Saccharomyces cerevisiae S288C: one gene and its partners. The gene in region 4 interacts genetically with the main gene of each other region. Each region holds a gene or a part of one and is shown on either strand. Other genes may lie near its edges. The genes, in order: CHL1, MMS1, TOP3 and SRS2.

What was found.
Region 1: mutations in SRS2 (region 4) and CHL1 impair growth when combined (synthetic growth defect), as found in Saccharomyces cerevisiae (8 studies listed by BioGRID, with this or other methods).
Region 2: mutations in SRS2 (region 4) and MMS1 together harm fitness more than expected from each alone (negative genetic interaction), as found in Saccharomyces cerevisiae (7 studies listed by BioGRID, with this or other methods).
Region 3: mutations in SRS2 (region 4) and TOP3 are lethal when combined (synthetic lethality), as found in Saccharomyces cerevisiae (8 studies listed by BioGRID, with this or other methods).

The regions. Positions count from the first base shown.
Region 1 is NC_001148.4:535,394-542,470, forward strand, and holds CHL1 (DNA helicase), read left to right. Parts: upstream 1-3,991; coding exon 3,992-6,577; downstream 6,578-7,077. Other genes in the region: RET3 (coatomer subunit zeta), read left to right, coding at 1-194; RQC2 (Rqc2p), read right to left, coding at 427-3,543; transcription factor TFIIIC subunit TFC8, read right to left, coding at 6,689-7,077.
Region 2 is NC_001148.4:867,811-876,759, reverse strand, and holds MMS1 (Mms1p), read right to left. Parts: upstream 6,058-8,949; coding exon 1,834-6,057; downstream 1-1,833. Other genes in the region: mitochondrial 37S ribosomal protein uS14m MRP2, read left to right, coding at 131-478; Rho family GTPase RHO1, read right to left, coding at 763-1,392; TIF3 (Tif3p), read left to right, coding at 6,805-8,115; ORC4 (origin recognition complex subunit 4), read left to right, coding at 8,456-8,949. UniProt on the Saccharomyces cerevisiae protein: Component of multiple cullin-RING-based E3 ubiquitin-protein ligase complexes (CRLs), which mediate the ubiquitination of target proteins. The CRL associates with CDC34 as the E2 ubiquitin-conjugating enzyme.
Region 3 is NC_001144.5:606,804-613,661, forward strand, and holds TOP3 (DNA topoisomerase 3), read left to right. Parts: upstream 1-2,979; coding exon 2,980-4,950; downstream 4,951-6,858. Other genes in the region: BNA5 (kynureninase), read right to left, coding at 1-316; EST1 (Est1p), read right to left, coding at 622-2,721; YLR236C (uncharacterized protein), read right to left, coding at 4,991-5,314; thiamine transporter THI7, read left to right, coding at 5,564-6,858. UniProt on the Saccharomyces cerevisiae protein: Releases the supercoiling and torsional tension of DNA introduced during the DNA replication and transcription by transiently cleaving and rejoining one strand of the DNA duplex.
Region 4 is NC_001142.9:255,760-263,901, forward strand, and holds SRS2 (DNA helicase SRS2), read left to right. Parts: upstream 1-1,663; coding exon 1,664-5,188; downstream 5,189-8,142. Other genes in the region: TOK1 (Tok1p), read right to left, coding at 1-1,053; GWT1 (glucosaminyl-phosphotidylinositol O-acyltransferase), read right to left, coding at 5,321-6,793; protein kinase activating protein DPB11, read right to left, coding at 6,998-8,142. UniProt on the Saccharomyces cerevisiae protein: ATP-dependent DNA helicase involved in DNA repair at least for UV-induced lesions. The polarity of the helicase activity was determined to be 3' to 5'.

The DNA of each region.
Region 1 (7,077 bases), on a different chromosome or scaffold from region 4:
TGGTTTTATTAGCTATTGATGAAACCATTGATAATGGTGTTATCCTCGAAACTGACTCTAACACTATTGCATCCAGAGTTTCTAAACCACCTACGAACGAACCCCAAATGGCATTAGATTTGGATAAGGGTTTCTTAGGCGCGTGGGGTTTCGCAAAGAGCAAGTTTCAAGAAAGGTTACAGCAAGGCTTATGATCACAAGGCAAAGCGGATAGAAGAAAATTTTAGCTGGTCTTATATGGTATATATGCAGTGTCTTACTTTCTCCCTTCCATATATATGTATCTACTTATATATATAAGTATATGTTGCTCATTTAGAAATGATTGTCACCTCATGCTAATCATTTTATTCTTCTCGTTGGTCTGTGATGAAAAATAATGAAAAAATTATAATTGCTGTCTATTTTCTTTTCATCTCATATGATTTAGCGTTTTTTTTTGCCCTTCTTCGAAGAGTTACCACCGTTCTTGGTGGATTTCTGCCCAGCGATTGTTACTTTTAACTTGTCGACACAGAGCAGAAGAACCAAGTCCTGTTCCTTCAAGCCTTTAATCATTTCATGTTCTTGGGGCCAATCCATTTCGTTGTCAGTTGAAGAACCGTCTAGTGGTCTACTCTTGAAATAATGTAAAATTTCAGTTAAAGTCTTAGTTTTCTTCGCACTTCCCGGTTGTATTTTGACTTTGTATTTATATTTCAAAAGCGCAGGCCAGGGGGCAAATACTGGTATAATATCATCAACCACATCGCCCTTATCGAGAGATGGTTTTAATTCGGACTTGTGTTTATCATAGTTCACTCTTGCTTTCTCTTTTTTGGTGAATTTTAAAGCCTGTAGTCTTCTTTGTTTCTCGCGTTTATTCTTTCTATCTTCTCTAACTTCTCGCTTCATTATTTCTTCTTTCTTCCTTTGTTGCTGCTTTTCGATACCCTTCAAAGTACCCAAGGCCTCCAAACGCAAGAGACGTTCAGTTTCATCCTGGTCGGCGTATTTCTTTTGAATTTTCTTCAATTTTCCTCTTTTACCACGGACGTTACTGTTTATGTTTTCGATTAAAGATATCGGAACACCTGGTTCATCAAGGATACGCTGCGTACTGCTATTGTCATTTTTGGCTTTAGCATTTCCAGAATCAGAGTCGGTATCGGATGATATGGTGCAATGCTTTTCGATGTCTTTTTCAAGATTATCGTGTTCAAAACTGTTGTTTTTCGTGCTATCGTTTGAATCTCCACCCTTCTCTAACCCATTGACCTCGTTACTATCGTCTTCATCTTGCTGTTGCTCTTCTTCTTTTTCTTCTTCTTCTTTTTCTTCTTCTTCTTCTTCTTCTTCTTCTTCTTCTTCTTCTTCTTCTTCCTCTTCTTCTTCTTCTTCTTCTTCGTCATCATCACCATTATCCTCATTTCCACTGGTTTTCACTTTCCATAAAAATCCAAAACCCATCACAAGTTGAGCAGGGGGTAAATGGTTTTGATCATTCTCATTTTTCAACCGAAAGGCACCTTCTGGCAGAATGGAGTTATCAGAGCCATCGAATTTACTAACATTCTTTGCAAAGCACCACCATGGAGAAGAAGATATCTTCTTCGACCAAGCCTCGCTTGAGGACATGCATAGTATACCCGCTTGCATCAAAGTGTTCGGTGGAACTTCTGTTTTTTCTGGATTTTTGATCCATACATGAGAGTTAAAACTATTGGACATATAAATATCATCATCTTCAATATATTTTGAATAGATTTGATCTGTCTCAGCCGGACTTTTACCCATCATGACCAAAAATCCTTCACTTGAAATAAACCAACTATATTTTTCAAAAAAGTAAGGAGTGCGGATCTTTTTTAAGACACTGTGAGAATCTTTTAGCTTTTTTTTCAATTGTTGATCAATTTTGACTTCAATATTCTTCATAGCCTTGCCGACATTCTTTTCGACTTTTTTCTGCTTTTGAGCACTTGTTTTTTTGATATTGAAATATTCAGTGGCATTGGCATAAGCTGATAAACCAAGGTCAATTGTAACGTTTATCTTTTCATTAGATTTTCTTTTCATACTTTTTGTACTCCTCTCCTTCGAACTCTCCATGTCTTCTGAGTCTGAGTCACTAGAACTATCAGTAGTATTGCCTTCTGATTCATTGTCCTCGTCTGAAGAAGTGTTGAGTTCCTTGCTAGAGAGATCAAGCTTGACGCTAATTTTGTTCTGTTTCAAGTTCAAAGGCAAGTTCAAAAGCTGAGCAATTCTGTTGCCTTTTTTTTGTTCACTTTTAATTAGTTTCTCAATAGTGTTCCAGTCCATTTGTTGATCGATTAGACCCTGAACAGCAAGCTTAACTTCCTCTATTAAGGGTGCATTTTCAATTATGAGATGGCCTTTCCTTTCATTTAGTTCTTGGACGTCTAATAAAGCTTGTATTTTTCTATCATTTTCGGCACGAGCATCATCGATTTTCTTTTGCGCTTGCGATTCCTGATTTTGTATACGTAGAGCATACTTAGAGGATTCTATTGTTGAGAAAAATTTGTCTAGCGTCCTATTGTAAGGACCTTCAACTTCAATGATACAAGAAGAGTCAGTGTCTCCCCCATTTATATATGGCTTAAAGGGATGGAATGTATCATAAATAAATTCCAAATCGGCAGTATCTTTTTCAGAGATATAATTTTCATTTCTTTTGGCCAAAATGTAACCCTTTCTATCGGTGGTAGTTAAAAGTTGATTATATTCTAACTGAGTACTGTTTAGCAATTCGGCGAGTGAGTCTGTTTCCTCCAAAAGATTTAAACAAGACTCTGAAGGGTCGATATTGAATACCTTAAGGTTCTTTGATAATAAATCTGAAGACAAATGAGGGACTTTCGAAAGCAGCAGTTTATGGATGGAAGGTACTTTCACTTTTTTTTTTTTAGCGCCCTCCTTCCCTTGAATGTTAAGTTGCTTAATAACAGTAATGTCTGATTCATACTTGGCTTGAACTGCTTTTATCCACTCGTTGACTAGTTCAGAGGTGTATTCTGCCTTTCTGTTTTTTTCTATGGATTCATCAGCAGACTCGTTATTTGTGGTAAAAAGTGATTCGTCAAACATTTCATAAATTTGTCCGACCTTATTTTCATGCTCTAGAACGACTCTTTGCAAAGCCATAATTCTTCTGTTCTCATCTAGAAGAATGACATTCCCTGCACTGAAAAATTCCAAAACTAAATAGAAGTGGCCATCAGCAAATTGTAGAACAAGAATTCTATCCTGGTCTACTTGCTTTAAAGCTGTTAACCGTTTAGCTTTAAGATGCTTCCTTAGTTTGACAACAAAGCCGGAAGGAGTTGGAGGTATTGGCCTACTAAATTCAGTTAAGTAAATTCTTAAGCCACAATCGACAACAACATTGAGTTTAGAATCTGGTTTATTAAATTTCAGCAAAAATTGTTTTGAGGAATCGGCAATGTTATATATATTACTCAATCGGTAGCCTTCCAAATCCTGTTTCAGCTCTCTAGCCAACAGCAGTAAATCTAGGGCACTAATTCTTTGCTTCATCGCTATTAATCTCTTGCCTGCCTGACTTCTTAGACCGGATAATAAGTAGCAACTTTCTTTTCAATTTGCCATCGGATTCTTTTAAAACTATTTTTCAGGCGAAATTTCATTTTTCTATCCTTCCGCAGCATGAATGAAAAGTTCAAACGCGTCCAAATATACAATAGATATAGTGCATTAGTTAATGTCCGGAAGAGAAGTCGCAATTGTTGAAAAGGTTAAAACTCAGGCTATTTATTGAAAATCCAATTTTAATCGTAACCACAGAGTTGAGGTAGAGGCTCATTTGTTACCTGACAGTTGATGACATTATCACTGACATATTTAAATTCATCATTAGTGTAATCAGCACATGCTAAGTTGAGGGCACTACTGCAACTTCAGTTTGTTTCCTTAAAACCCAAAAGAGTAGAAAACCAGGCTAAAAACAGTCACACTAGTCCAAAAAATGGACAAAAAGGAATATTCGGAGACTTTCTATCATCCTTATAAGCCCTATGATATTCAGGTACAGTTAATGGAAACTGTATACAGAGTGCTATCCGAAGGGAAGAAAATAGCTATCCTGGAAAGCCCCACTGGGACAGGCAAGACGCTGTCCTTAATCTGTGCCACGATGACTTGGTTGAGAATGAATAAAGCAGATATTTTCACCCGCATGGAAACTAACATCAAAACGAATGAAGATGATAGTGAAAACCTAAGCGATGACGAGCCAGACTGGGTTATTGACACTTATCGAAAGTCTGTTTTACAAGAAAAGGTGGATTTGCTAAATGATTATGAGAAGCATTTAAACGAAATTAACACGACCAGTTGTAAGCAGTTGAAAACTATGTGTGATTTAGATAAAGAACATGGAAGATATAAATCAGTTGATCCATTAAGAAAGAAACGCAAAGGCGCTAGGCACCTTGATGTATCACTTGAAGAACAAGATTTTATTCCGCGCCCGTACGAATCAGATTCTGAAAACAATGATACCTCCAAAAGCACAAGAGGAGGAAGAATATCTGATAAAGATTACAAATTGAGTGAACTAAATTCACAAATAATAACACTTTTAGACAAAATTGATGGGAAGGTTTCGAGAGATCCAAACAATGGCGATCGCTTTGACGTTACAAATCAAAATCCAGTGAAAATATATTATGCATCCAGAACTTATTCACAATTAGGTCAATTTACTTCTCAGTTAAGATTACCCTCGTTCCCATCATCCTTTAGGGATAAGGTCCCAGATGAAAAGGTGAAGTACTTACCACTTGCTTCGAAAAAGCAGCTTTGTATTAATCCAAAAGTGATGAAGTGGAAAACATTGGAAGCTATTAATGACGCATGTGCGGACCTTAGACATAGTAAAGAGGGATGTATCTTTTATCAAAATACAAACGAATGGCGTCATTGTCCTGATACGTTAGCTCTCAGAGATATGATTTTTTCAGAAATTCAAGATATTGAAGATTTAGTTCCCCTGGGAAAATCTTTGGGAATTTGTCCCTATTACGCCTCGAGGGAGGCACTTCCTATTGCGGAGGTAGTGACTTTGCCATATCAATACTTACTTTCTGAGTCCACCCGTTCAAGTCTTCAAATAAACCTTGAAAATTCTATAGTAATTATTGATGAGGCTCATAATTTGATAGAAACAATAAATTCTATATATTCCTCTCAGATCTCGTTGGAGGACTTAAAGAATTGCCATAAGGGGATAGTAACTTATTTCAACAAATTTAAGTCCAGGCTCAATCCCGGTAACAGAGTAAATCTATTAAAGCTCAATTCACTTTTGATGACTCTGATTCAATTTATAGTTAAAAATTTCAAGAAGATAGGACAAGAAATAGATCCTAACGATATGTTCACAGGAAGTAACATCGATACCCTAAACATTCATAAACTATTGAGATATATAAAAGTCTCCAAAATTGCTTACAAAATTGACACGTATAACCAGGCACTAAAAGAGGAAGAATCGTCAAAAAATGAAAATCCAATAAAAGAAACGCATAAAAAATCAGTTTCTTCTCAGCCATTACTTTTCAAGGTTTCTCAATTCCTATATTGTTTGACAAATTTGACGTCAGAAGGACAATTTTTTTTTGAGAAAAATTATTCAATAAAGTACATGCTTCTAGAACCAAGTAAACCTTTTGAGTCAATACTAAATCAAGCAAAATGTGTAGTCCTTGCAGGTGGGACAATGGAACCCATGTCAGAGTTTTTGTCGAATTTGCTACCTGAAGTTCCTTCTGAAGACATTACGACCTTGTCGTGCAATCATGTTATACCGAAAGAGAATTTGCAAACTTATATCACAAACCAGCCTGAGCTTGAGTTCACATTCGAAAAAAGAATGTCTCCCTCCCTTGTAAATAATCATCTTTTTCAATTTTTTGTTGATCTGAGCAAAGCAGTTCCTAAAAAGGGTGGTATTGTAGCTTTTTTTCCAAGCTATCAGTATTTGGCGCATGTAATTCAGTGCTGGAAACAGAATGACAGGTTTGCTACATTAAATAACGTGAGGAAAATATTCTATGAAGCAAAAGACGGCGATGATATTCTATCTGGATATTCTGATTCGGTAGCAGAGGGAAGGGGGTCTCTTTTGCTGGCTATTGTTGGGGGAAAATTATCAGAGGGAATAAATTTTCAAGATGATTTATGTAGGGCTGTGGTGATGGTGGGCCTGCCGTTCCCAAATATTTTTAGTGGAGAACTAATAGTTAAAAGGAAGCATTTGGCCGCTAAAATAATGAAGTCAGGCGGAACGGAAGAGGAAGCTTCACGAGCAACAAAGGAGTTTATGGAGAATATTTGTATGAAAGCTGTCAACCAAAGTGTTGGACGTGCTATACGGCATGCAAATGATTACGCAAACATTTACTTGCTCGATGTGCGATATAATAGGCCCAATTTCCGGAAAAAATTGTCACGTTGGGTGCAAGATTCTATCAATTCCGAACATACAACACATCAGGTCATTTCTTCAACACGGAAGTTTTTTTCAATGCGCAGCCTGAATTCACGCTAAAAGGAATACGTTTACGTGTATACTGTGATTACTACTATATATTATAGTAAACTAAACTGATATTTATGACTACTTTTTATATCTGCAAGTAATTCTTTGTCTCTTGTATCCTTACATAACTTCCAGCGTTGTTCCACAATATACGCTTATTTCATTAAATCTTTCTAATAGACCCCTTGTAAACCAACCATAATCATTCAAATCATCTCGTTTTATGTCTATTACCCGTTGTTTGCTCACGGGACATATCTTTACATGCGTTGTAAGTATTGGAAGCAAAGTGACACCACACCTCTTCCACGTGTTATTCGTGGTGGATGTTACAGTTTCAGGGTCAGCCGTGAAGCTTTCTAAATTGAACGTTTCCTCGAGAAAGCTGTTCTTCATCAATAACGTGCCGTTGTAAATTGGCGCTTCTCTTTTAAGTATTGCCGCTATAGATAATACGCAAGCTAAATCAAAACTATTCGTTAATTCGGATTTTTTGTTTATAGCGTATT
Region 2 (8,949 bases), on a different chromosome or scaffold from region 4:
CGGAGAATTCGCGCTGTACGAGAAAAGAGCGAAAACAGAGGAATATTCAAACTAAGAACCAAACTGCGATAAAGAGGATTGAAAGGAAAAACGAAAGAAAAGGTAAACTGACAAATATATACATTAACCGATGGGTAATTTCAGATTTCCTATAAAAACCAAGCTACCACCAGGGTTTATCAATGCTCGCATACTTAGGGATAACTTCAAAAGACAACAATTTAAAGAGAATGAAATCCTTGTTAAATCTTTGAAATTCATCGCTAGAAATATGAACCTTCCAACAAAACTGAGGTTGGAGGCTCAGTTAAAACTAAATGCATTGCCAAACTACATGAGATCTACGCAGATCAAAAATAGGTGCGTGGACTCTGGACATGCAAGATTTGTTCTAAGTGATTTTAGGTTGTGTAGGTATCAATTTAGAGAAAACGCTCTGAAGGGTAATTTGCCAGGTGTTAAGAAGGGTATTTGGTAAAAAATTTTATCGCGAAAGTATATATATATATATATATAGGATACGCACTTGTAAATAAATACATGATAATTTTTATTCTTCTTTAATAGATGATAATACTTACTGAGCAATACACTTATATGTAGAGAAGAATAAGATTATACACATACTGGGAGAAAAACAAGTAGCTATAGTTAGAGCTAAAATAACAAAAAAAGGCATACGTACATACAATGAGAAAAGGAATGGGATTGAAAAAGGGCAGTATCTGCCACTAAGTTAACGACTGAGAGATCGAGACACTCCTATAACAAGACACACTTCTTCTTCTTCTTTTCAGTAGTGTTCTTCTTAGCTTTACCATTCGTTTTAGATTTACCCATCAATGAAGCTCTAGTGGCGGCCTCAAACACTTCTCTGACACCATAACCAGTCTTGGCCGAACATTCGTAGTATCCGGTTGCGCCAATCTGGTCTGCTACAGATTGTCCCTCCTGTGATGTAACGGGTTGTTGACCTTCTTGTCTTAATTGTTCAATGGTTTGTGGGTCGTTTCTCAAATCCACTTTACAACCAACAAGAATAATTGGCACACCTTGACAGAAATGTAATACTTCGGCAATCCATTTTTCTTGTACATTCTCTAAAGAATCTGGAAGATCGATAGAGAAACAAATTAATACGACATTGGAGTCTGGGTATGACAATGGTCTTAGTCTATCATAATCTTCTTGACCAGCGGTATCCCATAGCGCTAGCTCTACACGACGCCCATCAACTTCAACATCTGCTACATAGTTTTCAAAGACAGTTGGTACGTAGACTTCTGGAAATTGGCCCTTGGAAAAGACGATTAATAAACATGTCTTACCACAGGCACCATCACCAACGATTACCAGCTTTCTTCTGATACTGTTACCAACTTGTTGTGACATCTTTCTAGTATAATTTTTAAAGTTCTATGATTTTCTATTAGTGCAACAATAAACCTCTAACAGCGATTCTTTTGTTTTATTAATTTTGTTCCTTTTTTGAGTTTTGTAACTTTAAGTTTGGGTTGTTCCAAAAATGTTTTTGCAATACTCAGAGGAATGATCGATGGTCGAAACGATATTAAAGACGAATTCCTGCTGGTAAAATAAATATATACGATTAGGATAAAGAAGTATTTGTATCAACTACTAAAACATGTAGTACCCAATACAAATCAAACAAAAATTGTATAATCTGTTTATTTTTTTTTCTGAGGCGAAGCAAATTGGAAACAACAAGAATTCTTGTATCTTTTTTTAGCCCCTTGTCACGCTGCACGACGCGTAGCACATTGATCGAGAATCACGATTTTATCAGCGACAATGTTATTGGAAATGAGGGAATTATACTGTGTTCTTGCAGTTATCGCTAAGGTTCCATAACCCAACCTCACAGATGAGGTCAGATTTAACTATTGACCTTCTTGAAACCAAATAGCCAGAATTCCATCTTGGTTCGTATTCGTCCTGGCAAGGCAACCTGTCCTTGCCGAATTTGTGAATTGTTTGATCTGCCATTAGCACATATAAAGTTTGTACTGCGGGATCGTAACTAATATCTTGAATAGGCTTGTCCAATGCTACCGCATTATAGGGAGATAGTCTTTTAGTTCTCATTGCAGTGCTTCCTAATATAGAACTTATATCCTCAAAATAACGGGATGATACATGATCCTCATATACTATAGTGGCGGCTCGGCGTAGTGAAGGTTTTGGTGTAGAAGAGTGGTTTCGCCAAAAGAGTAGTAAATTTCTACGCTGCCTTAGGGCAACCTCTGCTTCGTCATTCTCCGACCGTATGCCTTCGCTGTAACGATTTACGTGCCTCTCACCATGTAAAACATCATACAAAGCCATAGTGCCAAATTGAAATCCTTCAGGAAAGTCAACCTCGAATATGTCGTCGACTCTCCCATTCCCATATTCATCTGGTAGGCTGCCTGTTTCGTTATTAAGCCCAACTTTGATGGTGGGTAAAGAGTAAAAAATTAATCTTGAATCTAAATCGTTCCTATTTCCACAGTAAGCGGCAACAACAAAGCAGCATTCATTTAATGGTATTATCTTTTGAACTTTTGAATCAGGATACATTTCCAAGGGATACACCCTTCTCGATTCGTCAGATGATGAAGAGAAATCCTTAATCAAGTAGAGCTTTTCGCCCATATTTGTGGTAGCAATGATATTATCGCCTACTACAGTAAACGTCTTAACTGTACTCCAACTCTTAAATGTAAACCGGGTTTCCAAAGTGAGCCGCAAAGTCGTATTATTTCTCTCCTCCTGGTCAATGCAATGTTTTGTGACTTTCAACTTGTTAAAGGACATTTCGTTATCGGTGCCCATAACTTTATAATCCAGAAAGAATATTTCACCTCTGGGAGTAATGACCAAATGATTGAGGAGTCTTGAATTGTCAAGTTTATACGAATCTATTATTTGATTGGAAATTTTGTTTTTTGCAGCAGTTAATAAAACTAGTTTTAATGAGCTAGTAAAAGAGATCAATAATACAGTTTTCTTTTCTAAAGGATTGTCCTCTGTTGCTATTGGTAATTCCTTTATTTCTAGGATTTCTTCAGAATCATCCTTAAGAAGTTGAGAATCTAAACCAACTGCCTTACCATCTGATAGTCTAATACACTCCCATTCCCTCAAGTCCTGATTCAATACCAGCATTCGATTTATTTTGTCTAGATATAAAAATTTCTTATTTTTGCTTCTTGTAGATTTTAATAAGAAATTTCCATTATTTGATGTTAGGTATGATAGTTCGAGGATTCTTAAGCCATCAGAGTAGAGTATGAATAATTGGTTGTTTTCTATGTCCGGACAGACTTCAAGAATTGAATTGTTATTACCTAGGTGCGGTAATTTTAGCTTGTAAAAATCCAATTCTCTACTGTCGTGAATTGGCGTTAAATTGATGACAAAAATTTCAAATGCACTAAATGCCAAACATTGATTCACACCAAAGCTTCTAAATTTAATATCTTTCCCTTGAAAATTAACTCTGCTTGTACATCTGGATCCTTTTTTGAAGCAGTTGTTCTGTAAAGTGTGCACCTCAAAATATGATTCATAATCGAGAGAGCAAAAATAAGGGCCGTTTATTAACGCCTGCTGAACACTCAAAATATACACATCAGAAAAATCAAGTGAATCACTAATCCAGTCAGAAAAGGGTGTACGAATGACACAGTCTGGTAAAAGGATCCAAATGTCATACTTGGTTGGATCATCTGTAGACTCTTTGATTTGAAAATTGACACTCGTGACAGTTCCTAACTGCTTGAAGAACTTGCTCATGCCTTTGCTGCTGCTTAAGTTTGAAACTAAGGCGCCAGACTCATCAACAGCGTCTATATTTTCAATATAAGAGACACAGCCAAGCCCAGCATTCCAAACTATTAAAATACCATCATTGTATGTAACGTTTTCGAATTCCCAACCTGGAGAAATCTTACGCAACTCTTTGTCCCCACCAATGGGATCGATGTATATCGTATCCCTAGTTACTTGAATCAAGTTATTTTTCGTAAAATTTAGAAGGATAGTTTCGTTTTCAGTATCACATAGTAAATCTTCTATATTTATCAGTCCTTGAACGGGATCATCATTATCGATTGTCGTTGTCATAGTTAAATCTAATAAAAATATTCTGTTGTTAGAAACAGCGTCGGTCGCAAAAATTAACGAACTTTCGGTATTTGACTGGTTTATTCCAAGTCTCTGTAACAGAGCAATATCAAGGTTCTTACATTTCCATATCCTAAGATGTCTAAAAATTTGAAATTGCTTTAAGTGGATAAGTTGATGAGTTTTCCTGAGTTTATAATCAATGCAAGGTTGAGTTATTGCATTTGGTGAGGTAAGCCAAACTTGAGAATTTCTCGTGTCATTGATGTTAGAGCCTGTGTGTGTGTTATAAAATTTAGAAGACGTAAATGCTAAAATTTGAGAGTTCTCCTCTGTGGAACTATCAATTGTGTGCTTGAAGGTGATATTTTTCAAAGGCTTAATAACGTCTTTTTTATCTAAACATCTCAAATCTTCTAGAGATAATGTTAGCTCTAATGTTCTACTAAAACTTATGACCACCAGTACATAACTTGAGGATCTGGAGTCTAAATTTATCGGATTTGAAGGTAGTGGTGAAATGGATTTCAATCCTTTGAACCTAGTTAGCTCGTAAAATTTTAAATTACCATTTACTATTGTCGATCGTTCGGTGACGCAAAAACAAATATTTCCTGTCGAGGAGGATATTATGGTACAATATTGGAATTTTTTAAATGTATGTGGGTGTAGTTCTTGTAATTTTAATAACAATAAAGGAGCTGGAAAAAATGACTTGATTCCCTTGAGAGCCTTCAATTGGAATGAGTGGAATTCAGTCTCTCCTGACATAATTTGATTTGCAGAAACTAAAGAGAACTTTAGGGGTGTTTCGACTAAACATGCATTTAGTCCAATGGGTATTGTCATATTAGTCTTCTCACCATCAAATACTGTCAATTGATATACCTCTTTTTTCTTTATTTCGTTGTTGTTCCATTCTATGACAAAGTAGACTATCCTTTCATATCTTATGGCTGTTATAAATATAATGAAATAGGGATCTAAATCAGTGTAATTTGTTGGGAAAAAGGATCCGTTCATAATCACGGAATCGGTCAATGTTAAATTGTTTACTAATTGAAAAGTAAATGGTAAATGGAATTCAAAAAATTTGCAAATGCCTAGTTCCTTATGTATAAGAACAAACTGCTTCTCGTTTTGGTGCTTGATTATGTTCCACTGACCTTTTTGTCCCAGGTTCCAATATTGTAGCAAATATGTCTCTTTACCGTCATCAAGCGGTAAAATAGACAATAAGTGACCACTTGGTTGAGTGAGTAATATTAAAATTGCAACGTTGTTGGGTTTTATAGCTATGCTGCCAGATATGCCAGACTGTATGTATGTTATTGAAGTGCTACCTGTTTGAAAGATTCCATTGTTGGATACTATTAAACTGAAATGCTTTTGTTGGATTTCTTCCAGCGCCTGCAATTCAATTTTTGGTTCTTTAACATTACCGCTGTCACTGCTCATTTCTATGTCATCCAATGCTTCTATATCTGAATCATCTAAGGTTTCTGGGTTTTTATCAATGTCAAAAAGACTACCTATTAGTGTGTTATACTTTTGAGGGAAGCCGTCTGACAGTTCAGAACGTTCTTGCAAAATGTATTTTAATACTGGTTTAAAATTTATCGGACTTGAGATTGGATAACAAAATTGAGGCATTTGACCAATATTCGAATCGTGATATCTGAGCATCATCATTGATGGTTCTAGCTTTGGCCCTACACAAGGTCTCACCCAAGTTTCATCCTCGGTATTTTGATAAAAAAGCTCAGGTTCATTCCACTCACGTGTGGTGCTTGAATCAATTAATAAATTGGGGGAAACTCGGAATGACTTATGATTCAACCAATCTTGCAGCTCAAGTTTGCCAAAATCCGACGGGCGACGAATATAATGTTCATACCTGTCTAAACCATGAGTTCGCAAACCTAGCATACCTAATTGACACCGTACTACTTTAATTAGACCCAGAAACGAAACGGAATGTGAAGCGATTTCTTCTCTTCTTCCAATTCTTTTGCAGAGCCCATCTCTGGCAAAGGGCCATTTGTTGGAAATCACTCTAACATGGCTTCTGTTTCCCGATAATATGCGGGTAATGCCTCGCACTTCCTTTGGTTTTGAATTTATGCTATTCTCTTTCTTTGCACATCTAACTTGAAGTGATTAGTACCAGATTGAGCTCAGCTTCTCAAAATTATTTCGAACATATCAATTTAGTTTGTAAGTCATAAAAATCGATATTTTTTGCTTTTTCCTTTTTTCCTAAATCTTCTTGACTGCTTGCAATCTTTGTATCTTCATCTTTCCTTTCTCATGTTTCCAAATTTAGCCTGTATATTCATAGAGACTTCTTAAAGTAAATTTTGGCAGGATAATAGGGTACTGAAATCTATGTTGCTTTTTATATCCTGGCGCTACTTAGCCGCCCAACCTTTTTGTCTTCTTGTCTTTTTTTCTTTTTGGCTTTATTTCTCATCAGATCACGCACCACGGAATGAAAATTTTTTTGCGGAAATCAGCATCGCTAAAGAAAAGCAGAAATAGAAGCAGAAGAGATAGATATAACTACAGAGTTAGAGAAGATCAGTAGACCAATAAGCGGGATTATCATAAAACTCGAGTTTATATTAGCTTTCATCTGTCTTTAGGAAAATAATACCATAATAAAAAGGACACATCATGGCTCCACCAAAGAAAACCGTAAAGAAGATGGACCTTACGTCATTTTTAAATGATGACACCTTTGGTTCATCTTGGGCTGAAGAAGATGTCGATTTGAATAAGATCACAATTCCTATTGAAACCGCTAATGCAAACACTATTCCATTGTCCGAATTGGCTCATGCTAAAAACAACAGCAATAACACGCGTTCAGGCGGCTTTGGTGGCAGTTTTGGAGGTAGATCTAGATTAGACCCTGCTTTGGGGGGCGGTTCTTCCGATAGAAGAGAGGAATACCCTGTTCCAGATGCTCCACCATATAGGGCTGTCATAAACAACATTCCATGGGATATTACCCCAGAGGGTGTTCAAGCCTGGGTTGAAGATGGTTTAGTTAAGCCTGAAGCGGTTGAAGAAGTTGTTTTGCCAAAGAATCTAAGAGACCCAACAAGATTAAAGGGTAATGCTTTCGTTACTTTGAAAGAAAGAGCAGATTTGGTCGCCGTTCTGAAGTTCAACGGTACTAAATTGAATGAGAGAACTGTTTACGTTTCTGTTGCGGCTCCAAGAAGAGGGGGAGGTGCAGATGTTGATTGGAGTAGTGCTAGAGGCTCCAATTTCCAAGGTGATGGAAGAGAAGATGCACCAGATCTTGATTGGGGTGCCGCTAGAGGTTCTAACTTCAGAGGTCCAAGAAGAGAAAGAGAAGAAGTTGATATTGACTGGACTGCTGCAAGAGGTTCCAATTTCCAAGGCTCTTCCAGACCACCAAGAAGAGAAAGAGAAGAAGTTGATATCGACTGGAGCGCTGCAAGAGGCTCCAATTTCCAAGGCTCTTCCAGACCACCAAGAAGAGAAAGAGAAGAGCCAGATATTGACTGGAGTGCAGCTAGAGGCTCTAACTTTCAAAGCTCCTCGAGGCCACCAAGAAGAGAAAGAGAAGAGCCAGATATTGACTGGAGTGCAGCCAGAGGTTCCAACTTCCAAAGCTCCTCAAGACCACCAAGAAGAGAAAGAGAAAAGGAAGAACCAGCTTTGGATTGGGGTGCTGCCAGAGGTGCTCAGTTTGGTAAGCCTCAACAAACCAAAAATACCTACAAGGATAGGTCTCTAACTAACAAAAAGACTACTGATGAGCAACCAAAAATCCAGAAGTCTGTTTATGATGTTTTACGTACTGAAGATGATGATGAAGATGAAGAGGCTGAAAAGCAAAATGGAGACGCAAAAGAAAACAAAGTTGATGCGGCAGTTGAAAAGCTACAGGATAAAACTGCTCAATTGACTGTTGAAGATGGTGACAATTGGGAAGTTGTTGGTAAGAAATAGAGTGTTGTATGATGATAAAATGTACATTTGTATTTACTGTTTGCTTTTTTTCTTTCTTGTTTTTCTACTCTCCTTTCTACCAGGTATTCTAACTCTATTATATAATTAAAAAAAAAATAACCATATATTTTGTATTAAGTTTCATACATGTGTTCAAGTGTATTTTTGGATTTATCATTTTTCTATGTGAGGTAAGTTTTTGAATGTCCCATTTTCCTTTCGTTTTTGGAAAGTTCTAAGAAAAAGCATTAACAATTAAAAAAAAAAAAAAAATCTAAATAATACTGATAGAAATATCAAATATAAACTACTAATATCGGTAATATTCAAAAGAAGAAGCATGACTATAAGCGAAGCTCGTCTATCACCGCAAGTCAATCTTCTCCCAATAAAGAGGCACTCAAACGAAGAGGTAGAGGAGACTGCAGCGATTCTAAAAAAGCGTACTATAGATAATGAAAAGTGTAAAGACAGCGACCCTGGTTTTGGTTCCCTTCAAAGAAGGTTACTGCAGCAACTTTATGGCACACTTCCTACGGACGAAAAGATAATCTTCACATATTTACAAGATTGTCAACAAGAGATCGATAGAATCATTAAACAATCCATTATTCAGAAAGAGAGTCATTCAGTAATTCTCGTGGGGCCCAGACAAAGTTACAAAACATACTTATTAGACTATGAACTGTCTTTGTTGCAACAATCTTATAAAGAGCAGTTTATAACTATCAGGTTGAATGGGTTTATTCACTCCGAACAAACAGCTATTAACGGTATAGCAACTCAATTGGAACAGCAGTTGCAGAAAATTCATGGCAGTGAAGAAAAAATTGA
Region 3 (6,858 bases), on a different chromosome or scaffold from region 4:
CAACTTCATTTTCTTGAGCACCCACGATGGGGGCTAGTAGTGGAAGAATAGGTAAGTCAATGCTGACCCAAGGCACCTTTCCTCTGGCTTCTTCAGGATGTTTGAAATGCGATTCCACAGCACAATCGCTCCACGCATCTAGCTCAGCATTAATTGAATTCCTAGTTGACTTCGGCATCAAACCTAAAGAATTCCCGCATAAGTACGTCACAGGCTTATCGTCGGACGATAGTCCCATGGATTTAAATGTAGGGATGTTGAATTCATCCCTCAGAGATTCCGGATATTCTCCGTCTAATTCCAAAGCTTTCTCCATAATTACCAGTTTGTTTCTTTTTTCCACAGAATATTTAGGCTTAATATGTACGTATTGACAGCATATATATTTGCTGTCTTGAATTTATTATGCTAATAAATAATTATGTTTTTCAAGCGCAGTCACCTATTTCCAAAGCGATGGGTTTGTCCGTGCCGTAGACGGCATCCCGTCGTTTTAATAACCGTTATAAAAACCGCCCCCATATTTTCGTGGGTTGACGACGACAGGCGTGGACGACGTTAATTGACGTCGTCATAATATATTTCATATTATGATTTTTTCCCTCACCATTACTTGTTCTCTCAAGTAGGAGTATCTGGCACTTGGACGGTGATGTCCTCATCAGCATCAATTGCTTCGTCTGGATATGAGAGAAAATCAGAGGATAGTGGGCCAGTGATAGTTTTTCTCCCTCGTGAAGCAGCATGTTTTACCAACTCAGAAGAAACGCCATCTTTTTCTGGGAGCGGAGACAATTTTTTTGTTCTCCGGACATTTGCAAATTGTTTTTCCAGTTCTGTCACAGCTATTTTCCCGGCTCTTTTGCGCTGTTGTTCATCTCTTTTGGCCTCAACTTTTCTCGAAGAGACTACTCTTTCCTGTTGTGTTTTTACATTTATTTTGGAGGAAATTTCCGATAATGCTATTTGGCGTTTTATTTTAATATTTGGGCTTATTAAATCAAACTTATATTTGCTGGCATTCCATATGACGCCGGTGTCATTTTTCTCTAAAAATTTCATGCCAGAAAATATTATTGATCTAATTCGCAGAACACATTCTTCTTTTGGAGAAAGCACTTTAGTCAATGTAGGGCATCCAATTATATTATTAATCATGTCGGGAGAATCATACACATAATCGTCATTAAAATCTGTTAGTGCAAAGTTAATGCAAGAAAATTCCCTGAAAATAATATCTTCTCTAAAAAGATAGCTTCTTTTCGGCCTGTGGCTATATATATTTCCTGAACAATTCAGTGGACTATTTATCAAGTCGTTCAGCAACAAGGCGAATGAAGTGCAAAACTTCCTGTGTCTGTGAGTGTACTGCAAAATAGATCTATATGACTTAATCCAGCACATAAGCAAACGAATAATGGCTAGATATCGAAAGTCTTCCATGTTTTTTTGCCAGGAGGGTTTGATGACGACGTCTATGATATTAGCAATAAAATCAAAGCTCAAGTCTAAAAAAAAAACCTGGCGCTCACTCAAATCTGCATATTTGAGTTTGTTCTTTTGTTCCTTACTTTTTCGAGTTGTAAACATAAGATCGAAACTTCCCATTGTGGCAGCCAAGTTTTCAAGTATAACATTAATATTACCTGAATGATACTTTAATGCAGCCATTTGTAAATGCTCTTTCAATAACCAACAATTAGAAGCACGTGATGCGTTCCATGACTGTGGAACCAAAGTGTGTTCTACTATCGATAGAAATTGCAAAACAATTTGACCTTCAAAGAATGATTTCTCACCTTTGAGATCTTTTGACACAAGAATTGCCAATTTTTTCATCAGACGTCTTCTTTCCGGAAAATCAGGAGTCAAAATGAAATCTTTCAAATTGTTTAACGCACATTTAGACGGAATCCTTACCAATGCTCCTCTTACTAATTCAAAGAAATACAGTGAGAATTTCCCAGTGATCAAGTAAATTTTCGCTCGTTGAAAATAAGTATCTCCAACGGCTGGGAGATAGAGTGAGGCAATATTCAAGTACCTAATAGACTTCTCAAAACCTTCCACACTCTTGGGTTTGTTAGACGGCTTGTTTAGTAGTGTTTTATAAAAATGTGTGGAACCTAGATTAATCACGCATCTTTGTAGTGAGATTACAATGGAAAACGTCAGTGGATTACTCGTGTTTAAGATAATTTTCTCATGAGTTGAAAGTCCATCTGTGTATTGCATTAAATTCAACTTCGCGAAGAGAGCATTTGAAATAACGGAATTCATATCGTACTTTGCGCATAGGTGTTCGATGATGTCATAGTAATACCTGTGTGTAATTTTGAAAAATTGAATCATTTTTTTTTGAAAAATTCTAAAAACTCTGAACTTTCTTCTGTTACTTAGTCGCATGATATCATGGAACCAGTGCTCAAACCATTGGAGTGTAGGTTCGTGAATTTGAAGCCATAAAAGTTTCAGAACCAATGGTATCACGGAATCATTTATGCGTTCGTAATTGTTATTATGGTACATATTTTCTTGTTTCAAAAGTAGCTCTTCGAGAAACCTAGTAGATTTGCGATGTATTCCATCCAGGAAGCATCTGAACGTGATATATGCATTTTCATCGCATGTCAACCTTGATGTTAGATGTTTATCCAGATGCGCACGAGCGTTCTTGAAAAATAATCTCATACATTCTTCGTTAACTTCTTCATTATCCATTATCTATGGTGGCATGTGTCATTTAATGGAATATACTTTTTCCCCTGATAAGTTTGCTAAAAACGGTCGGATCATACAGGCATGTTAACATTTCCATTATCCTTTTTGACATTGGATAATGGCGTGAACGCGAAAATCACATTGATAAAAAAAAGCAGTTTGGCGAATTAGTAACTGTCAATAAAGAGGGCATCGCTTTTGAAAGCACCTTCGTCTGTGCGCTCGCTTCAGCTACGTAAAGGTGTATTATAGACAATAATGAAAGTGCTATGTGTCGCAGAGAAAAATTCTATAGCGAAGGCAGTTTCACAGATCCTAGGAGGAGGCAGATCAACTTCAAGGGATTCCGGCTACATGTATGTAAAGAACTATGATTTCATGTTTAGTGGGTTCCCGTTTGCCAGAAATGGGGCTAACTGCGAAGTTACCATGACTAGTGTTGCAGGGCACCTAACAGGCATTGATTTCAGCCATGATTCGCATGGGTGGGGAAAATGCGCCATCCAAGAGTTATTTGATGCGCCACTGAACGAGATTATGAATAACAACCAAAAAAAGATAGCAAGCAACATCAAGCGAGAAGCGAGGAATGCAGACTATCTGATGATATGGACAGATTGCGACCGGGAAGGAGAGTACATCGGTTGGGAGATATGGCAGGAGGCCAAGAGAGGCAACAGGCTCATACAAAATGATCAAGTATACCGGGCAGTCTTTTCGCATCTCGAAAGACAACACATATTAAATGCAGCACGAAACCCAAGTCGATTGGATATGAAGAGTGTGCACGCTGTAGGCACGCGGATTGAAATCGATCTTCGAGCAGGTGTTACATTCACCAGACTCTTAACAGAAACGCTACGAAATAAACTGAGAAACCAAGCCACCATGACCAAGGATGGTGCAAAACACCGCGGTGGTAACAAGAACGACTCACAAGTCGTATCGTATGGTACATGCCAGTTTCCAACGCTCGGCTTTGTAGTAGACAGGTTTGAAAGAATACGAAATTTTGTTCCCGAAGAGTTCTGGTATATCCAATTGGTAGTCGAAAACAAAGACAACGGCGGAACAACAACGTTCCAGTGGGACAGGGGCCACTTGTTCGACCGGCTGAGCGTGTTAACGTTTTACGAGACATGCATCGAAACCGCCGGCAATGTTGCTCAAGTAGTAGACTTGAAATCAAAGCCAACAACGAAATACAGACCTTTACCTCTGACCACAGTGGAGCTACAAAAAAACTGCGCCCGGTACCTGCGTCTGAACGCCAAACAATCACTAGACGCAGCAGAAAAGCTATACCAAAAGGGGTTCATATCGTATCCAAGAACAGAGACTGATACTTTCCCACACGCAATGGACCTAAAATCCTTGGTCGAAAAGCAAGCTCAATTGGACCAACTCGCTGCAGGCGGCAGAACCGCCTGGGCATCGTACGCGGCATCGCTGCTCCAACCCGAAAACACAAGTAACAATAACAAGTTCAAGTTTCCACGAAGCGGCTCCCATGACGACAAAGCGCATCCACCAATCCACCCCATCGTAAGTCTGGGGCCTGAAGCAAATGTTTCGCCAGTGGAAAGAAGAGTATACGAGTACGTGGCCAGGCACTTTTTGGCATGCTGCTCAGAGGACGCCAAGGGCCAATCGATGACCCTTGTGTTGGACTGGGCCGTTGAACGTTTCTCAGCTTCAGGTCTCGTAGTCCTAGAGAGAAATTTCCTCGATGTTTACCCTTGGGCCCGATGGGAAACCACCAAGCAGTTACCGCGGCTTGAAATGAATGCCCTCGTAGACATCGCGAAGGCCGAAATGAAGGCGGGCACTACGGCGCCGCCCAAGCCGATGACTGAGAGTGAACTCATTCTCCTCATGGATACAAACGGCATTGGCACAGACGCCACCATTGCGGAGCACATAGACAAGATCCAAGTACGTAATTACGTTAGGAGCGAGAAAGTAGGCAAGGAAACCTACTTACAACCCACGACCCTGGGTGTCTCACTAGTGCACGGCTTCGAGGCCATCGGCCTCGAAGACTCCTTTGCAAAGCCCTTCCAGCGCAGAGAAATGGAGCAAGACCTCAAGAAAATCTGCGAAGGTCATGCCTCCAAGACTGATGTTGTAAAGGACATAGTCGAGAAGTATAGGAAGTACTGGCACAAGACGAATGCCTGCAAGAATACTCTCTTGCAAGTTTATGACCGTGTCAAGGCATCCATGTAAGGCGTTTTTGCCGCCCTTTGTCTTCAAAAAAGCTCTCCGCTTAATTGCATGATTCAGCTGACTGCATATGTGCATTTTCAGTACCAGCCGCAACTGCATCAAACCATGCAGAAGTCGCCGCCACAGAAGCTCCAGCGCGCCGCGTAAACGCATGTTGGAAGGCGCCCCAATTAGCATATTCACGCGCGACTACCAAACGCATAGGGAAGGTTTCAGAGAGCCGATGAGCAGCGGATGCACAGAGTACGGCCATAAGGCTGCAAAGCGCTTGGCAGGAATGGGCGTTTTCTAGAGGTTGCCTTATTGATTTATATGGAAGAGGAGAGGATTCATCGATCGGGCTTCTAAGGCAAATAGTATGCATACCTTTTTCGGGTAGTTGAAGAGAAAAGAGGAAGAGAATAGAAAAAAAAAAAAAGCGAAATTTTTACATCCTCTATTGTAATGTAATTTCTTTTTTTTTATTAGGTATATATGTGAGATACAATTCTCGAAGTCATCGGGAAGCTTTACCATTTCATTTCCTATTCCAGAACTCATATTAGCATCTATTGTTCTGAGATTCATCGCAACATCATTTAAAGGACTGTAGAGCCAATTGCATTATATCAATATGAGTTTCGGTAGTAAAGTCTCCAGGGCTTTGAGATTTTTGGAAATTCCTGTCAAAGACAGGGCATCTGTGAGTTTCTTGAAGAACCCGGATTTGCAACCTATTAAGTCGGCTAACCAAACATGGGGGTTCTGGTCTAATTTTGCATATTGGGGTGTTATGTCCTTTTCAGTGGGTACATGGATGAGTGCCTCTTCTGCACTAGGTGTTGGATTAAGTTACCCAGAAACCATTGGTACATTTATCGTCGGTGATGTGTTGACCATTATTTTCACATTGGCAAACTCGTGTCCTGGTTACGACTGGAAGGTCGGTTTCACTTTGGCCCAAAGATTCGTCTTTGGTATTTACGGTTCTGCCTTCGGTATCATCATCAGAATTTTGATGAGTATTGTCAACTACGGGTCCAACGCTTGGGTGGGAGGTCTTTGTATCAATATGATCTTGGATTCATGGTCTCACCATTATTTGCACCTGCCAAACACCTTATCTTCGAAAGTTGCCATGACCACTAAAGAATTAATTGGTTTTATCATCTTCCACGTCCTTACTGCATTCTGTTACTTAATGAAACCCTACCACATGAACTACATTTTAATTTGGTCGTGTGTTGCTACATTTTTCTCTATGTTGGGTATGGTGATCTATTTAGCTAAACAGGCTCACGGTGTTGGAGAATTGTTTACCTCCACTAAATCCACTGCCACTGGCTCCACCAAAGCTTGGGCTTGGGTTTATATGATCTCGTACTGGTTCGGTTCCGTTTCTCCAGGTTCCACCAACCAAAGTGATTACTCGAGATTTGGTTCCTCCAATTGGGCTATCTGGGCCGGTACCATCTGTGCATTGTTAATTCCAACCACTTTAATCCCAGTTTTTGGTGTTATTGGTGCCTCCACCTGTGACAAACTATACGGTGAACAATATTGGATGCCTATGGATATCTTCAACCATTGGTTGACAACTAACTATTCTGCAGGTGCTCGTGCCGGTGCGTTCTTCTGTGGTCTTTCATTTGTCCTATCTCAAATGTCCTACACCATCTCCAACTGTGGGTTTGCCAGTGGTATGGATTTGGCCGGTTTATTACCCAAGTATGTCGACATCAAGAGGGGTGCCCTTTTTGCCGCATGTGTCTCCTGGGCTTGTTTGCCATGGAACTTCTACAACTCTTCTTCTACTTTCTTGACTGTCATGAGTTCTTTCGGTGTTGTCATGACTCCTATCATTTCTGTCATGATTTGCGATAACTTCTTGATCAGAAAAAGACAATACTCCATCACTAATGCCTTTAT
Region 4 (8,142 bases):
CATATAATGTTTCCACGATTTGGACCTGCCTTTTTCAACTCTGTGGAAAAAGAAAATTGGGCCAGAGGACTTTTGAATGATGGATCTTGTCATAAACACTATTAAACCCATCAAGACAACACCAGATAGCGAAAAGATTAAAACCATGATTTTGGCGCCAACCGACTTGGGCAGGATGTCACCTAGTCCCACGGTTAATAATGATACCGTGCAGAAATATAATGCATTTCCGTAAGTGATGTGCAATAAACCGCTAAACATACCCGCACCCCAAATCAACCATAAAGACAATAGTACAGTGTATGCCATGATACTTCTTTCATTGGGCAAAAGGTTGAACGTTGGAGGATATTTTCCTAATTTATATCCAATAAAATGTATTGTTAAAATAATGGTGCATACCAAATATAGACCAGAACTGATACAGGCAAACCAAAATCCGATAGTCTTACTGTAGATGCTGGGCATGTCATTCAAGGAGCATACAATCACGTCCACCAAAAGCATCCCTCCAGCTATTGTCCATCCTGTTATATTTATTAACTGAGATTTAAGATACGTCAACTTCTTACTGAAATGTAGCATTAGTATAATATTTGACGTAAAACCCAGTACCAAAGAGATGATATTAACGGCAAAAATACCAGGAGGATCAAAAACTGTCTTTACTTGATTCATCAAAACATCGGTGTCATTGCTTCGTGGATTTGTCACCACGGAGTTGTTCTTTAAGGATCTCCATTTTTCAACTACACAGGCTATCGAGATAGTGTTAGCTACGGGACCCAAGCAGGCAGTAATCACAGGGAAATAGCATGAAACCACAAACCAAAAGACGAACAGTGTTGAAGAAGGCTCTGCATTAATAATACTAACTCTTTCGTCCCGGAACCGCAATGCATCCTTTAGTTCCTCTGCAAGAACACCCTTAGCTTGCTTCGGTGTGTTGTTTGAATGAGAATCAACAGCCTGAGCTGAGCTCTCTTGCTCCACTGTCGCCATATTGCCATATCCCAGCGTTTGTTTGGCAAAGCTGTTCATGAACCTTGTCATATATATAGAAATCGGTAAAATAAATACAAGAAATATGCTTTGTTATACTGCTAGAAAGGAGTGAAGACATCTGCTCACGATCTACGAGATGCGGCTATTTTTGATGGAAAAAGATACATAGGGTCAGGCATTTTTGCCATATTGAATAACCAAGATGGTACTGAGTACTCAGGTAATGTATATTACATTGAGTACTTCACTTGTATACACAACCACTGCTTCGTATTGTATATCAAGTATCTAACTGTTGATAAACTACAACTTTCTCTTCAACCATAATGATAGCGCCGCTTAAAACATGCTAGGGTAACGAGACGCGAATGCGAAAAACTCCCAAAAAAACCAAAACAAACAAAAGTGACAACAATTAGAACGATGCTGAAGAAGAATAGGAGCGAGTTTAGAGTTACCTCCAGCTATCCTGATACTACTGCTTAGGCTACCTTCGCAGAGTCTCGATAAATTTGCAGTCGGCAAGATAAGAATATTTCTCTACAGCTTTTAGACAGCTTCCTGTCCCTCTAGTTTCTTTTGCCATCCATAATTGTACTCTGCACTTTGAGTATCATTCCAATTTGATCTTTCTTCTACCGGTACTTAGGGATAGCAAATGTCGTCGAACAATGATCTTTGGTTGCATTTAGTATCCCAGTTAAATACTCAACAGAGAGCAGCGGCCCTCTTTGATTACACTAGAGGGCTGCAGGTCATTGCCGGTCCCGGCACAGGGAAGACTAAGGTTTTAACTTCAAGAGTAGCGTATCTTATTCTGCACCACCATATTCATCCCCGCGATATTATAGTGACTACTTTCACTAACAAAGCTGCTAACGAAATGAAAGAGCGTTTGCAAGAAATGTTACGCGGGGCAGGCGTGAATATTTCGGAGCTCTTAATTGGTACTTTTCATAGTATTTGCCTGAAAATACTTTATAGATTTGGCCACTTGGTGGATCTACAGAAAGACTGGAGAATTATTGATGAGAAGGAAATAGATGTCATTTTAGATGATATGATCGAAAAAGTTCCCGACCAAATAAGGGATTATGCTTCCTCAATCACAAGGAAAGTAAATCTTTGTATGCCGAGTAAAAATGGAGATGAATGGACTATTCATCCGAAGCTGATCAAGAAACAGATATCAAAGCTAAAATCAAACGCAATATTACCTGAGGAATACATCTTAGATTCGAATCATGACGCCGCGCTTGGTTACTTTTACCAAATATACCAATCAGAGCTAAGCAAGAAAAATACGTTAGATTTTGATGACTTATTAATGTACACCTTTCGTTTGCTGACTAGAGTGCGTGTTTTATCCAACATAAAGCATGTTTTAGTTGACGAATTTCAAGATACTAACGGCATTCAATTGGACTTGATGTTTCTTTTTGCTAAGGGAAATCATCATCTTTCGAGGGGGATGACCATCGTAGGTGATCCTGATCAAAGCATATATGCTTTCAGAAACGCCTTAGCGCACAACTTTCTAGAAATGGGCAGAAAATGTCCCATCGAGTACTCAACTATCATACTTGTTGAAAATTATCGTTCATCACAAAAAATTCTAAATACAAGCGAAATTTTAATAACGCAACAAAACAAAGGTCGGCAGAATAGGGCTCCACTCCGTGCCCAATTTGACCTGGATTTTCCACCAGTTTACATGAATTTCCCCGCTTACTTTTTGGAAGCACCTTCTTTAGTTCGGGAACTACTATATTTGAAGGCATTGCCAAACCTATTCACATTTAATGACTTTGCTATCCTAGTAAGACAACGAAGACAAATTAAAAGGATCGAAAGTGCATTAATAGAACATCGGATACCCTATAAAATTATTAGGGGCCACAGTTTCTGGGATTCCAAGGAAACAAGAGCGATGTTAAATTTATTAAAATTGATATTTTCTCCGAATGACAAACATGCAATTCTTGCTTCACTTTTATATCCAGCAAGGGGCCTTGGTCCTGCTACCGGTGAGAAGATTAAGAACGCATTGGACACGTTAGCTACCGATGTGTCATGTTTCCAAATATTGAAAGACATAAGTAGTAAAAAAATAATGCTAGACATACCGACGAAAGGCCGTTCTGTGATTGCTGACTTCATTTCAATGATAGAAAATTGTCAATTGTTGCTCCAGAGCACTTTACTAGGGGGTCTTTCAGATTTATTTGATAAGCTATATGAATTATCAGGTCTGAAATACGAATACTTGTACAAGGATGGTAAGAAAAAAAATGATCAGCTTGAAAAATCCGAACCTAATTTATTAAACGCAAGACATAAGAATATTGAACTTTTGAAAAACTATTTCCTGGCTCTTCTTTCCAAGTCAGAATCTTCAGATAAAGAAAAAAATGAAGCCATTAAAGCAGCAACAGATGAAGCCGAACCAATAGAGAACAAGGTCATCACTCCAAAAGAATACCTCCGTAATTTCTTCAATTCACTTTCCCTTCATTCTGATGCAGCTGAGGAGGAAGAGTCGGAATCCAATAAAGATGCAAAAATAAAACGTGAGAAGAATGGGTTTGTCACGATATCTACAATTCACGGTGCCAAAGGTCTTGAGTGGCCGGTAGTTTTTATTCCTGGATGCGAAGAAGGTATAATTCCTTGTGTGTTCAACGATGATAAGAAAGACGAATCAGAGGAGGACGAAGAAGAAGATCAAGAAAATAGTAAGAAAGATGCAAGCCCAAAAAAGACTAGAGTTTTATCCGTGGAAGATTCTATAGATGAGGAAAGAAGAATGTTTTTTGTTGCACAGACTCGTGCAAAATACCTGTTGTACCTATCAAATACTGTAACTGTGGAAGATGTCGATAGACCAAGAATTGCAAGCCGATTTTTGACTACTGACTTGATAAAAGCCATGTCCGATAGCCAAAAATTATTTGAAAGTACGAATAGTATCAAAAAACTATACCGAATTTTGAACAAAAAGCCGCCTGCTGAAGATGATAAACTATTCTCCCTTGACCAATTGCGCAAAGACTATAACCAATTCATTGAAAATAGGAGAGAAAGGATGATTTGGCAAGGGATACAAATGAATGATGTCTATGGAATACAGTTGTCTAGAAATAAATTATTGGGTTCTGTTAGTGATTTCACGTCAGCTGCGGACCAGTTACGACTCGAAACGCAAAACTCTATATTCCCACAGAAGAAACTTATTGAAAAATCACGCCCATCCAAAATCAATGGCAATTACGCTCCTAAAAGTAGAGTTAAAAGTCCAGAAAAAAGGTACGCTCCAGAAACTACATCATTCCATTCTCCTACAAAGAAAAAGGTGTATGCACCTCAATACGTTTCAACAACTAATGTACCTAGTAGGCAGGAGTTTCATTCTTCTACTGGGAAAAATATTCCTTTTCTGAGAAGAGAAGATAGGTCCATCACAGACATATCACCACGATCATCAACGAGGTCGTTAAAAGGAGCATCTCCAAATAAGACGAGCCACATGTCAGATGATTTAATGAGACCATCACCTACGAGGAAGGACAAAGTTACTCGTAATATTCATTTCGCAACTGCAGGAACTTTCAGAATAGAAACCCAGTCAAATGTTGATGAACTGCATCCTCCGGAATACTCCAATAAATCAGGGCAGTCGCTTACGTCGAGTGAATTTTCTGGGTTTTCTAGCGCGTGCAGTAATTCTGATCAGCCAACGAACTTAATAGAAGATATAAACAACGAATTAGATCTATCCGATGAGGAGTTATTAAATGACATATCAATAGAAAGGAGGAGAGAGCTTTTGGGCTCGAAAAAGACGAAAAAAATAAAACCAAAAACTCGAAATAGAAAGTCTAAGAGAGGTGACAAGGTTAAGGTGGAGGAAGTGATAGATTTGAAGAGTGAATTTGAGGAAGATGACAGCAGAAATACAACAGCTGCTGAGTTATTACATAATCCGGATGACACTACAGTTGACAATCGTCCAATAATCTCCAATGCTAAGTTTTTGGCTGACGCAGCAATGAAAAAGACACAGAAATTTTCCAAAAAGGTGAAGAATGAACCTGCATCAAGTCAAATGGATATATTTTCTCAGCTGTCACGTGCGAAAAAAAAGTCAAAATTAAACAACGGTGAAATCATAGTCATCGATTAGTAGCACTTTCATGCCTGACTACGTCAACTATTGGAGGCGGTTTATAATTTTTATTTAAAGCACATAGGAGTTAATTTTATTTTACTGGTAGGGTTTGTATACGAACTACATGGAAATGTGGATGGTGTGTTATTATAGCTTAATGAATATTCTTTTTCTATACAAGAAAACCGATATGACAGCTATGAATGAGCAGTATGCCAACAAAACCAGGAATGATTTTAAGGGTGAAGAATCTATCGTGACCATAGACATATTGACTAAACCAGTAGAGACATTTGCCAACAAAAATAAAAACAACCCATTGGAGTTGATTGATTCCAAGCATTCGGCAACTTTATAATATTCCGAAGAATTACCGAAAATTTTGTCAGTCAAGCAGTACCCAGTCAAAAATAGTAAATTATAAGTAATGACCCACAAAGTATATGGTAAGTTAGCAAACCTTCTTGAAACACTATAAGGATGGTATTGAAAAACCAACTGGCTGATAACAAGAAAAATTGTACTCCATATACAGAGGCCACTTAATGGGGTTACTGAAGTCCAATAGTCCCAAGTCGAAGACTTCTTTGATGCTGCAACTACGTCTTGCGTAGAAGGCTTATAAAGATTGTTTAAAGTTGGTTTATTTCCCAACAAGTAAAATCCCGTGTTTTGGCCCCAAAGAAAAATCGAGCAATAACCTAGAAATGAGAAGATGCCTTCTCTATTAGCACTGAAGAAACAATTTCTATCAGCCAAAATTAAAAAGTTTAAAGTGCGATCGTCCTTTAAAAGTAGCCATTCATAAATGCATGAAATGAATATTGCAATTGAGCAGCGTGGAACCATTCTTGTGACGGGATCAATAAAGGTCAATACAAGTGGCAACAATGATAGGGTGATAAAAAAATTCCAATGAACCCCATATTCTGTGACATGTTCTTGATATTCCAAATTTTTTACAAAAAACAACCTCAGCAATCCTAGGAACAATAGAGTTCCTCCTGATTTTAAGGCATTAAATGCATTTTTTAAGAAGCTGGGTTTACTCTTCAAGCTTAGGTTTTTCAACAGTGCCCTAGAAGAAACAATACCGTTACTGAAAACGAATGATCCTACACCAAGATCCATCAGGGATGTCCCCCAAGTTTCCACCTTGGCAAACCTCCTTGGGAAAATTGGAAAATCTACAGCCAAGATGGCAATAGCAGTCAGAATAAGCATCCCACCACGATACGCAGTAATATACGGCTTTTTTTCTAGTTGGAACCGCTGTGTAATCATTTTTTTTTTATTGTATATTGGATTAGAAGGTTTACTCGAGCTAGTAAATTTTCCATATATGAATGCGAGCAAACAAGGTAACAGTATTAGCGTGTTTAGAAGGTATGGTTCACTAGCATAAATAGTAATAGATAGAAGCAAAGCAACCCAGTTCAATGCAAAATCAATTATGTATTGCACGCTGGAAATGCCAGGAGGCATAAGGTTGGAATTTTTCAATAAGTTCCATGATATGTAAGTTACCAAAGCAATTGATGTCACTGCGTTAATTTCTGTTATAGAACCGCCATTGAGCCCTGTCACAAAGTCCTCTTTTCTCTGTTTTAAAGTCGACATATTCTTCTGATGTACTGTTGCCATTTATTTAGATATTTACGTGTCTTCTTATTGCGATCCTCTTTTTCTCATGCTGTTTTTTCACGCGAGCATGTCATGGAAAGTATTATCATACAAAACGGTAATACATATAGATGAGTAGATTTGAATAATGCTGTAGATGGCGTATGTAAATGAATATCTTATAAAATTACGGACTACATTTCAAGAATCTAATTCCTTTGTCTGATTTCTTGTCTGTCGTCTCATAGGTTTTTCTAAAGAGGCAGTACGTTTCTTATCTTGAATGGAGCCATAGGTAACTTGAGTATGTGAAACTTCCTCAGTTCTTGGGATCTCTTCTGGATTAGAAATTGCAGTCGGCTGCTCTGTAGGCACATTTTCTGACATTATTGTGCCCCAACTCGTGGTTCGTTTAATTTGTTTAGGAACGAAATTTTTTGGCAGTGACTCCAACTTGATCCTTTTCGTATCCGGCATTTGTCTCTCTGAAGAAACATCCATGATACTCGATGAGACACTACGCTTTTTTCTTCCAGAATCAGTTTCTCTAATTTTCTGCAATAATTCGTTTTTGGTATCTTTCATAGAGTGCTCCGATAATGAGGAATTGTTTCTTTTCAAAAGAATAGTTTTGTCGATTTTTGGATCATTGTTTTGGTACTTTTTTTCTGAACTAATGCTGGTATAGTATGGTTTTTTTATCTTACATTTAAAATCGTCCTTGTGTCCTCTTGGGCAGATAATACACCACTTGATATTGTTTAAAAAGATTTCATTATTTTCTCCAGATGCAGCGGACAATAATTTAAAAATAAATGCTGGAGTAACTACCGGTATGGAGTGGAATTTCTTGATATATTCAATTTTCCTTTTCATCGAATTTCTCAAGATTGAATTATTTTGAAAATCTTTTCTGTTATTATCACCAGGATCATCATTATTGTTATTAATGCAAAACTGAGTAAAAAGATCGCTAAATTCATTCGACCATAACGGATGGGTTTTCGGGATACTGGGTAAAGCTGCTAAGTTGATTAGCAGAATGTCAGTGGATTTATTGAGGTATTCTACATAATTGATGCCCATTGGTTTTAGAAGATTTAATACTTTAGTCAGATGTAACAGCTCTACGCCAGAGAATCCAGTGATAGTAACATTCAGAAAAGGGGAAGAAGAAAATTCATGATGCAATAACTTTGAAGAAGACGAAACTTGAAACTCTATTGTGCTGAGGAAGGGTTTTGACCATAAATCTATTGGGTGTAGTAATTTTTGATAATACAAGCAGCGTTCAATGAAAAATTCTGTAACTATACCATCATTATCATCTATAATCTCAGGTAAAT